Linked DNA regions of Ovis aries. The protein of the gene in region 3 purifies or fractionates together with the protein of the main gene of each other region. This does not show direct contact. Links are inferred from orthologs where the notes say so. Each region holds a gene or a part of one and is shown on either strand. Other genes may lie near its edges.

The links.
Region 1: the proteins of PTPN12 (region 3) and VAPA purify together in Homo sapiens (affinity purification with mass spectrometry; 3 studies listed by BioGRID and IntAct, counting the BioPlex papers as one, with this or other methods). This does not show direct contact. The link is inferred for Ovis aries from reciprocal best matches to the Homo sapiens genes PTPN12 and VAPA.
Region 2: the proteins of PTPN12 (region 3) and PSTPIP2 purify together in Homo sapiens (affinity purification with mass spectrometry; 4 studies listed by BioGRID and IntAct, counting the BioPlex papers as one, with this or other methods). This does not show direct contact. The link is inferred for Ovis aries from reciprocal best matches to the Homo sapiens genes PTPN12 and PSTPIP2.

What each region holds. Positions count from the first base shown.
Region 1 is NC_056076.1:42,439,879-42,442,574, reverse strand, and holds part of VAPA (vesicle-associated membrane protein-associated protein A), read right to left. Parts: intron 840-2,696; coding exon 666-839; intron 1-665. UniProt on the Homo sapiens protein: Endoplasmic reticulum (ER)-anchored protein that mediates the formation of contact sites between the ER and endosomes via interaction with FFAT motif-containing proteins such as STARD3 or WDR44.
Region 2 is NC_056076.1:46,126,685-46,130,334, reverse strand, and holds part of PSTPIP2 (proline-serine-threonine phosphatase-interacting protein 2), read left to right. Parts: intron 1-1,259; coding exon 1,260-1,358; intron 1,359-2,286; coding exon 2,287-2,383; intron 2,384-2,504; coding exon 2,505-2,586; intron 2,587-3,650. UniProt on the Homo sapiens protein: Binds to F-actin. May be involved in regulation of the actin cytoskeleton.
Region 3 is NC_056057.1:45,190,925-45,195,171, reverse strand, and holds the start of PTPN12 (tyrosine-protein phosphatase non-receptor type 12), read left to right. Parts: upstream 1-1,307; 5' UTR 1,308-1,747; coding exon 1,748-1,846; intron 1,847-4,247. UniProt on the Homo sapiens protein: Dephosphorylates a range of proteins, and thereby regulates cellular signaling cascades. Dephosphorylates cellular tyrosine kinases, such as ERBB2 and PTK2B/PYK2, and thereby regulates signaling via ERBB2 and PTK2B/PYK2.

The DNA.
Region 1 (2,696 bases), on a different chromosome or scaffold from region 3:
GCATTCAGGCCTCAGCTCTCTGAACACCTGGGCTCAGCAGCCAGGGAGCACACCGTCCACCAAACACAGAACTGAGGTCATGGCAGGTAAAGGAAAAGGGCAAACAGCAGCCCCCTTACAACTGGATGGAGCTGTGTGTGGTTGTGAAACAGAGGGCATCTCTCCACCCTCCAGGTAGGTGTTCAGGGCAGGGGCCTTGGAGAGGGGCTTGGGAGAGGAAGAAACAGCCAGAAAAACCATCTCAGCACAGGTCAAGCCACCTCACAGGGGCCTTCAATGGGAGCCATGCACGAAATTTAAAATTTTCTAAGCCCATTAAAAAGGTACTAAACTTGATAAAATTAGCTTTAATAATGTATCTTTTACTGAATCTAATAGAATTCAATATTATTTCAACATAACAATACAAAACAGGGATTTTTCTTGCACTATGTGACTCACAGCACATCTTAATTCTGACTAAGCACACCTTGGTGGCCCGCCCTGGACAACGGGGGCCCCCTCGCAGGGACTGCACTGCTGCTGCAGCCGATAATGCCAGGCCCGGGCGCGGAGGCTGCACCAGCGAGTGAGGAAGCAGCCAGGGCACGCCAGCCCCCAGCGTCCAGGCCAAGGGCGAGAGGGGCGCCGAGGCCGCTGCACAGTGGGGCCAGGCGGGCACTCACCCTCAGGAGTCGGTTCTCTTCTGACAGCTTCATCATCTCCCCCTGCAGCCGCTTGCACTCCTCCACGAGCTTCCTCGTCTCGGTGTCACTGAGGGAGACACTGTGCGGCTTTGGCGCGGGCCCGTCCTGCTTCGCAGCGTTCAGCGGAATGGCTTTGCTGGGTTCCATGTCGTTCTGCATCACAAAGGTAGCAGGCAGGGAGTTCGTCAACTGACAACTCTCCTTAATAGTTTTAAACAAAACTTAAAACTCCACATCCCTGTCCAAGAAATTATTTACACAGAAAGTTCTGACAGGTTTCAATTTCATTATTAAAGTTTTTAAAATGTCCAACATCTGGTCCCCAGTGACCAGCTCTACAGGACAACAGTGAGCATGAGTGGTCACCAAGGTCCGAACACATGGTTCCCTGCTCTGCATCCACCTCCCACCCCAGAGCAGCGAGCATGCAGCTCACATCGTCCTCCAAGATTCTTCCCTACAACACCTCAAAGTCTGGGAGAGCAAGAGTCACTCGTCTGTGCGTTCACCCCTAAAACCCAGCACCCCAGCCAGTGGTCACTCAACAAGGACACTGAGGGATGCCTGCCCGGATCCATAAAGTTCACAGTCAGTGCTGATTCTGCAGCCCAAGCAAGGTGCCGGAGGGCAGGGGGACACGGTCGAAACCACTCAAATGAAATCAGACCACCTAAGAGAAATGCATGAGAGAAAACCCAAGTTCTGTTCACAGAAAAGTCATTGGAGGACCTGGAGCCTGAAGGGGAGATAATGAGCACAAACACATGTCATGGGGAAAAAGCAGGCAGGGAGAGTCCACCTGACAACTGCGCTCAAACATGAGTGACCCCCCCGTTTATGAAGTAACACTCCCTGCTGTCAGTCATGAAATTCAGTGCAGAGCCAACGTGGTGCTCTGGCACTTTAAATTACAAGCCCCATGTCTTAAGTCCGGCCAGCATTGACCCATGTGACCCGGCGGGCCCCCAGGTGCCCTGAACCTCCTCTCCACCTTCAAGCACCCCAACAGGACTAGCACAGCAAGTCTTGTCTTCAATTAAAATTTTACTTGCTAAAAATTTAACTTTTCAGATAGCAAGGTATAAACTGCTTCAGATATAAAATTCTACCAAAAACATTTTCAAAATCAACTTTATGGCAGGTTCCACAGTACTCATCAGAGGATTTAATTACAGTCAACACCTGCCACAGCATCCCAGTTCTGGAATTCACACTGAGTACAAATGGGGACAAGATGTACTTCCTATGAAGGGGTTGTGCTCTGATTGCTATGTCTAGATCCATGTAAAAATGAACACCACTGATCATACTGAGGTCCCAGTCAACACTCAGATCCCCATCTCTCTCCAAAGCATCCCCGCCAGGCCGGGTACAAGAAGCTTGCTTCATGATCCTCTCTGCTTCCGTGCGAGCCTCCTTCTCCCCTCTCTTCCTTCCCAGCCAAGCCCCTCAGGTCTGCTAAAAATCCTGTTTCAGATGCTGGTACCCTCCACCAATAGCTTCTCTCTTCCTTTCCTTCACAGTCACTAGAGTTCACTTCGGCACGGCTTCCCAAGTGACTTCTCACTTTCCACCTAGAAGCAGCCCAGCGTCTGGGAACCAGGATGGCACACGGCCTTCTTTCCTTCGTGAAGACAAACGGTCCACAATACCACAACTCTGCACACTCCCGGTCTGGGGAAAGAGTATCACCCTCGTGCCAGAAAACTGACTAAGAAATTAAGAGGAGATACAAAAGGTCAACCAAGCAAAGACAAAATGAGCACGAGGACTCATCAAATTCTTCCCAAATGGCTTTTTATTTTTGAACAAATTTTTGAAATTCTAGAAAATTGAGAATATGAGAGAGGAAATTACCTCCCATTCTCTCATTAATTCAACATAACTATTATTCCCATATTATCTTCCAATATTCTTTCATATGCATGTTTTATAAACTCAGCATACATGTAACTTTTAAATCTTTCTTTATTCATTTATATGTACATCTTTTAAGTGTCATTCTAAACG
Region 2 (3,650 bases), on a different chromosome or scaffold from region 3:
GGATGAAAGGACTGGAATGTTTTCTTGCAAACCTTGTCTTTCTGCTTCTTGCCCATCCTGATCGTGCTGTCCCATTCTGTCAATGGCCTTGCTCTGTTTGGTTCTCAGGTATGAAGCAGCTGAATCAATTAATTCTTTAGTGACGTCCAGGGCTTCCCTTGTACAGCTGGTAAAGAATCTGCCTGCAAAGTGGGAGATCTGGGTTCGATCCCTGGGTTGGGAAGATCCCCTGGAGAAGGGAAAGGCTACCCACTCCAGTATTCTGGCCTGGACCATTCCATGGACTGTATAGTCTATGGGGTCGCAGAGTCAGACACGACTGAGCTACTTTCACTTTCACTTTCTTGGTGACTTCCCACCAAAAGCTTCGCCTTTCTCTGTGACAAGGGGGTGCAGGGAGCAACAGAGCTAGCTTTAGAATTTTTATTCTCACCTTTCGTTTTGCCATGGCCCTCCTCATTTTCAACACTTGCTTCACAATGTCCCGGAGAAAATAAAGACTCCACCTGGAAACTTCCTCAAGTTTCTGTCACCCTGTCTACACATTTTTCTTACCAGTGGTTCTCAAAGGGAGGTCCTGGGACCTGTACCAACATCCTTGTTAGATGCAGATCTTATTATCAGACCAATTCCAGGCCTCTGAAATCAGACTTTCTCAAGTCGAGGCGAATGGGGGCCATCCCTTAGTTTGTGGTGCATGGGCTTCTCTTGTTGTAGAACACAAGCTCTGGAGGCTGTGGGCTTCAGTAGTGGTGACCTGTGGGCTCCAGAGTGCAAAAAGCTCAGTAGCTGTGGCTCGCAGGCTTAGCTGCTCTGCGGCTGGTGGGATCTTTCCAGACCAGGGACTGAATTAGCATTGCAAATTCTGCATTGAAATGTGTCCTGCAATGCAAAGCACACCCCCAACCACTGGACCATCAGGGAAACCTGAGGGCAAAACTTTGCATTGGAGGCTCTGGCAAGCTACCCACATGCAGATGTCCATTAGGCAGTGGAGAATGTGAGCCACAATTCAGGTTAGAACACTGACGGCTGGGTTCACCATCACCTCTTATGTGCAAAACTGTATCCAGTCCTATTTGTGTTAGTGTGTTATTAAAATCCATTTGCCGGAGTTAAGAGTGTATGAGCTTCCTGAGCGGTGGGTGGGAGTACACTAAATGAGACCATAAGCTTACAGATAATTCAAGGTTGAAATTGTTTCTTACATCATAGCCAGTCTAGACCCTTTCTCTGCATGTGTGTACATGTTTCTACAGGTGTTTGAGACTCAAGAATGTGAACGAATAAACTTCTTTCGAAATGCACTGTGGTTACATATGAATCAGCTCTCACAACAATGCGTCACAAGTGATGAGGTGAGTCAGAGTTATCCACGGAGGATGCTCTGCATATTAGATTCGTAGAGTGGGAGGAGTCAGAGACATCTGTTAGTTCATCCCCCGTCATTAGAGGCCCAGGTAGGTACAGTGACTGCATACACAGTGAGTATGGACCCAGATAAACACCTAACTTGCCTGACTCCTGGCTCACTTTACCATCATGAGTCTCTCACTGAGAAATTCACAATTAGGGCAGGAGAGCAAAGAAAGGACCCAAATGCAGTTTAATTTAAGGAAAACAGAGATGTAACAACATGAATGTGAGTCCCAGGGACTGCTCCAGTCTGAAACGGAGTCACTCCAGGACAGTAAGTACCAGGAACTAGCAGGCTGAGCCACGCCCAGGCTAATGGTTACTCCAGGGCTCAAGGTTTAACGTCAGCAGTGTTAAGGGCCACTAGTGACCCAGGTTTAACTCATGCACAGCAACTGTCCTGGGTTCCCAGGTCTCAGAGGGACCAGAATCAAATTATCACAACCTTCTTTCCTAAGAAATAGCCACTCGCACTTAGATGGGACATTCAGTTTTGAAGAATAACACCCAGAAGACAGGTAGGATTGACTGACTTGTCTCCAATTGTCTTTGCATTTGTGTGTAGGATTTGTCATGGGACTTGGTATCTATTCTCTTCATCCCATCCATTTTTTTAAAAGTCTTTCTGCCAAGATTACTGTGCTGCTACAAAGATATTATTTTTTGTTATCTTTAAAAAAAAATGTAACAGCAGCTATACATCAAAGAAATCCCTCTATGTGAGTCCAGGACATTGTGGTATCTTTTTTTTTTTTTCTTTTGAAGACAAAATTTGGAAAATAGCCATTCATCAAACCTCCCATTTTAATACTCCATGCCACCATTTTTATGGATGTACCTCTACCTTGATTTATCTTCTTTTTTTGTTAGATGTATGAAAAAGTCCGTAAGAGTTTAGAGATGTGCAGTATCGAGAAGGACATTGAGTACTTTGTGAATCACCGCAGAACTGGACAGACTCCACCAGGTGAATGGAGTGATAGGCTGGGGGATGCTATTCAAGCAATTCTATCAGTCTTTTGTATCACATGTCATTGAGAATGGAAGTCATCAGCTTCTTAACGTTTTATGTCTTGATGATTCCCTAGCACCCATCATGTATGAGAACTTTTACTGCCCCCAGAAGAATGCAGCCCCACCAGGAAAGGCTACAGGGCCTAACTCGGCAAGGTAATATCCAGCTTTCTTTCACATGAAGAAAAGTGCTTTTAGGGACTTCCTGGTGGTCCAGTGGTTAAGGCTGCACACTTCCACTGCAGGGAGTTCAGGTTTGATCTTTGGTTGGGGAACTAAGATGCCACAGGCTGCAATGAGGCCAAAAAAAGAAAAGTTCTTTTAATGAGCATTTTTATTTTTAGTGTTCCAATTCTAATATGAACATGTTAGAATCAGAATGTGTCTACCATTGCATTTGCTTAGAGAGGTTTCTGGATTTTTGGAAATAGTGTTTTTAGGACAAATGTTAAATGGACTGTACTAGTCATAGTTCAAGGAGGATTGTGTCATGCTTGAGTGTGATTATTATTACTTACGCACGAATCCTATACTTTTCTATTAATAATATTTATTGATTTTTACTTATTTATTTATTATTTATTTGGTGGTATTGGGTCTTACTTGCGGCACACAGGATCTTTAGTTGCAGCATCTAGTTCCCTGAGCAGGGATTGAACCCACACTCCTTGCATTGGGAACTCAGAATCTTGGCCATTGGACCACTTGGGGAGTCCCAATCCTAGACCTTTCTTGTAGAAAGCAAGAGTTGGCAAACTCTGGCTCCCTGTGAGTCAAATCCAGCCTACCTGTTTTGGTAGGGCCTACAAGTTAAGAACAGTTTTCATGTTTTTAAATGGTTGAGAAAAATGGAAAGGAAACTCTTTTGTGCCACGTGAACATCATATGAAACGTGAACATCCATGTTCGTATGTAGAGTTTTGCTGCTCATCTGTTTCCTTTCTGTCTGTGGCTGCTTTCACGGTGGAGATGAGTAGCATTGAGATAGAAATGCCATGTGGCCAGCAAAGCCTAAATCATTTACTCTCTGGCCCTTTACAGAAAAGATTTGCTGCCCCTGATATAAAGGATTCTGAGGGAAGAGAAGCTTCTCTTTTACATACAGTCACCCTGAAATCTAAGCTGTTGAATTTTCAGTCCAAATTTTAAAAAGATAGGGGAGTGTTTGAGTAGGGAGAAAGCCAAGCGCAGGACTTCCCTGGTGGTCCAATGGTTAAGAA
Region 3 (4,247 bases):
ATTAAACTATTCCTCTAAGGGGACTCTTTTTTTAAATACAGGACAAAACTGTATCTTTTTATATCCACATACCTGTATACAAATGCACAGGAAGACAATTGGAAGGACACATCTGGAAGTGGTTCTTTCTGAGAAGAGTAGATTTGTATGTATCAGTTGTATTATTTTAAAAAGAAATATTTTTCTTTAAAACAAATAGGAAATTGGATCTTGCTACTCACACCTGTTTTCTTCAAGTTTATTATTAAATTCCACGGTGCTTCTAAACATTCATCTGGGAAACGGGGCCTGCTACTGATATTTATTTTAACCAAATTGCCTAACCAATCTTATCCGGAAAAAGCATTGTTTGTGGTATAGTGAACAAAAGGAAGTGACCTAGAGAAGTTCATGGATCAGGTCTTTCACTTCAGTCACATTATCACGTTTACGCTCCTTAGTGAGAGGTAACATGGTGCTGGTGAGAGAAAAAGGATCTGAGTTCCAGTTTGGGCTCTGCTAAGAATATACTGGGGGACCATGAGCAAACACTTTCATTGTAAAATGGTGAATAAGACTAGGACAGATTTCTTTGATTACTAGAAGACTTACAAAGATGCAGTCTAGGGTGAAAAATCTATTATTCAGTTCTGAGTTGCTCCGAATCTAAAGGCAAGAAGACAAATTCTCTCCAATTCAGCAAACGTGTGTTATGTATTAGGACCACTGTGAATCTCAGGCGCTCTTTCACCAGGTTTTAGACTGATTTGCAAAAAAGCAAAAAAGTCCTCTCACTGAAGAAGCGTTTCGTTTCTCTTGGCCGTGGCCATTGCCCAAAGTGCCAAGATCTAATTGCCGTCAACATTAAGATGAAGACGTACCTGCTGCGAACGTGAAGACACTACAGTTCCCAGCATGCCTCTCTTCCCACCGCCGCCCTCTCCCGCCCCTACTCCTGGACTCTTGCCGGGCCGGGACTTGCAGTCCCAGCTCAAAGCCGGCGGCGGCGCGAAAGCAGTCTAGAAATGTACTTTTCCCACAAAAAGGCGGTGAGACCGCAGTTTCCAATTCAAGTCCTACTCCAACTGACTAGCGTCTGTCCGGCGGAGTCAAATTCCCTCCAACCAGCTCTCTTCAGACCGGCAAACTGCTGGGGCGGAACCACGCCCCGGAAATGAGGTCAAGTCCCCCAGCTGACGGCTGAAGCTCCTTCCAGCCACTCCTAGACGGACTAGGACAGGCGGGGCGGGCTTGGGGGCGTGGCAAGCGGGCGTGGCTCAGCTCGGCGTAGCCCCGGGGATCTAGCCGCTGCGCGGGGCCGCGCGTCTGGGTGGCAGCGGGGGCGCGCCCGTGGAGAGTGGCGGCTGCGGTTGCTAGTCTGGAGGGAGGGAAGGAGGAACCGGGAAGGGGTGGGGGGGGCAGGGCGATCGGAGAGCCGTGTTCCTAAGGCGGTGGCTGCGTCTCCGACGGAGCAGGAGCAGGGCGGGGAAGGAGGATGGAGCAAGCTGGGGGTTGGGGTTGGCGCTAGCCGCTGCGGCTCGTCTACTACTGTGGGAGAGTGGCTGCTCCTGGAAGTTGTAGGATCGGGAGCCGGGCTGGTGCCGCCGGTGCCGCCGCTGCCTTGGGCGGTGGGGAGGAGCAGGGAGCGTCAGGGGTCGGGAAAGACGGGACGGGTAGGGGGCGCGAGCTGGGGAAGACTGAGCGGGCTCTGCGCCGGGCGGGCGGGCGGCGGGGGGGCCAGCGACCGCAACCGGGGGGACGGGGGAGGATGGAGCAAGTGGAGATCCTGAGGAAATTCATCCAGAGGGTCCAGGCCATGAAGAGTCCGGACCATAATGGGGAGGACAACTTCGCCCGGGACTTCATGGTGAGTCCCTCCCCTCGCTGTTGCCTCCTCTCACCGGCATCCAAGCCCACTGCCTCTTCGCCCGCCCGGCCCGACCGCCGGCGCTTTGTGTGCGGCTGTAAGGAGAGGGGCGGAGGGGGCGCGCGCCAACCCCAAGGGCCGGGGTTGACTCGGAGGCTGGGAGGTGAGATCGCCCCTCGTCCTCCTTTCCTTTCGTCCTGCGATCGCGGCCCCTTCCGCCCGCGTCCGGAACGCGAAGAGAGGCCGCTGGCCAAGCCCGCACTTAGCGCCGCCGCCCGCGACCACCTATTGTTTCTCGGGCTGGGAGCGGGAGGCGAATGAGGTGCAGGCCGGTAGGCTCTTCTCATCTCCCCATCCAGTCTGCTCCTCCTGGGAGGGTCGAGGCAGGAAGGAGAGCGGATAGCGCCGACTGAGGAACGGAGCTATTAAGGTTGCATTTAACTCGTGGGGTCCCTTTGCTCAAGCTGGTCTCAAAAGAGGTCAGGGTAGGACTTTTTGCTCTTTCTGGGTTCGCAGTATTATCTCCAATGCAAGAGAAAGGATAGTCCATAGGAAATCTCGTGGAATGTTCGATTTCCATTTACTGCCGTCCTGTCTCTTGTCTCTTGAGACCCAGGTTTTAGATGGTGTAGGGGTCAACGTGATTTGAGGTTGAGGGATAAGTGTGTGTAGAGGCAGGGCGTGGGGGTGGAGGGTGCGTGGTTATCCCGAAGGAAGCCTACTTCAGACTCCCTAGGGGATACTGCCGAAGGCGGAGGGGATGTGACTATCACTTCCTATCCGGGGTGGGGGTGGGGAACTTGGGAACAATAGTCCTGGTGGGGCGGAGGCGACTGTACGGGCTGAAGCCCTGAACTGGGAGATAACCTTCGTAGTCTCCCCACCCCCCTTCCGACATCCCCCCTCCCCCTTCCGCCCTTTGCTTGTACTGGCGGGCTGGATAGGAGGTTAAAAGTCTTGGTCGTGGAATTGCTCTCGAGCCATCACTACGAGGGGGTCAGATCCGAAGGCGTGGGACCAGAAGTCGACTTCCTCCATTGCCACCCCCCCTCCTTTATTTTTCTGCTGGACAATGTTCCCTTTAGGGTTGTTTCTCGCCTTAGGAGGCGGTGGTTGCGGCGCTGCTCCTACGGATATTGCGCAAGACTGGGGCGTTGGAAACCCTGGAGGTCTGGGGAATGGAAAAGGAAGTGGGACTTTGGGAAGTGGTTGCTCCTTAGTCTTGGCGGGGTTTGGAAATGGGAAATAAGCTAGGGAAAATTTTGCTTCTGGGCAAGATTCACCTCCAAGAGTAGTCACCTAACTCTGAAATTCTGGATTGTGAAAAAGATACACAGTTAATGTGTATAAAAATGAGTCGCAAACATTGGCTAGTTTTTGTTTCAAAGTACAGTTTAATTGTTTACAAGGTGCAGGTGAAATGGCTTTTCGCACTGAAATACGAAATACTTTTCACATTTTAAAGAGACTTTGGTCTAGTAAAACTTTAGCGTTAACATTCTTAACCCTTAACTTTACTCAGTGTCATAACAGTATAGTTGAGCTTTGTGATTCCCGCCTCCCTAAACCAATAATAGAAGATAGGAGTTTGGTTTTGTTAGTATCTTTTGAAAGTGTAAAAAATGTTGATTAAATAATTTATGGTTTATTTTAAACATTTCCTCTTGATACTTAGCCCATGTATCTCCCCCCCCCCAATTTCCCTTTTATCTGAAAAAGTTAAAGATGTTTCCTTCTTCCTATTGGGAATTTTGAATGTGTTAGGTATCTTTGAAATGACATCACAGTAATTGGACAGAGTCCCCCTTTTATTACTCTCTAGCAAACATAAAAGAAAATATTTACTTAGATTTTAAAACTAGTCTAACACAGTCTTACTTTGGATGTGGAAGGAGAGGTGTGTGACCCTGTCCACTTGGCATGTTGGTCCTCTTGTTCTCTATGGACATATCCTGTCAGGAAAGGGCATTGTTTGCTGATGCAGGCCATCAGGACAAGTGCCCAGTCTCTGAACTCCTGTACAGGGGAAGTAGCCTTCGGGTTCATGCTTTGGGGATGAGTCAGGGATTCCTATTGGAGATTTCGTTTCTCCGGGACTAAATGAGTTTTCTTTTTCTTCCCTAATACCTAGGGATATCTAGGTGATTCTGCATTTAAGATTTGATGACTAAGGCTGTTCTTTTACAGTGCTTGCTTTTTTTATTCTGTGACTTGATAAGCAATAGCTATAATTAAATCTGCCAGTTATGCCTCTTTTTCTCTTAACTAGAAAGCTGGAGGAAAACTTTGTCCCCTCTGCCACAAAAAGAAAATATATTGGCTAATAGATTCTTCTAATAATAAACACTTCTGTAATTCTTAAATTCTGACATTTTAAAATTTTTAGCATTTGAGAACTGAG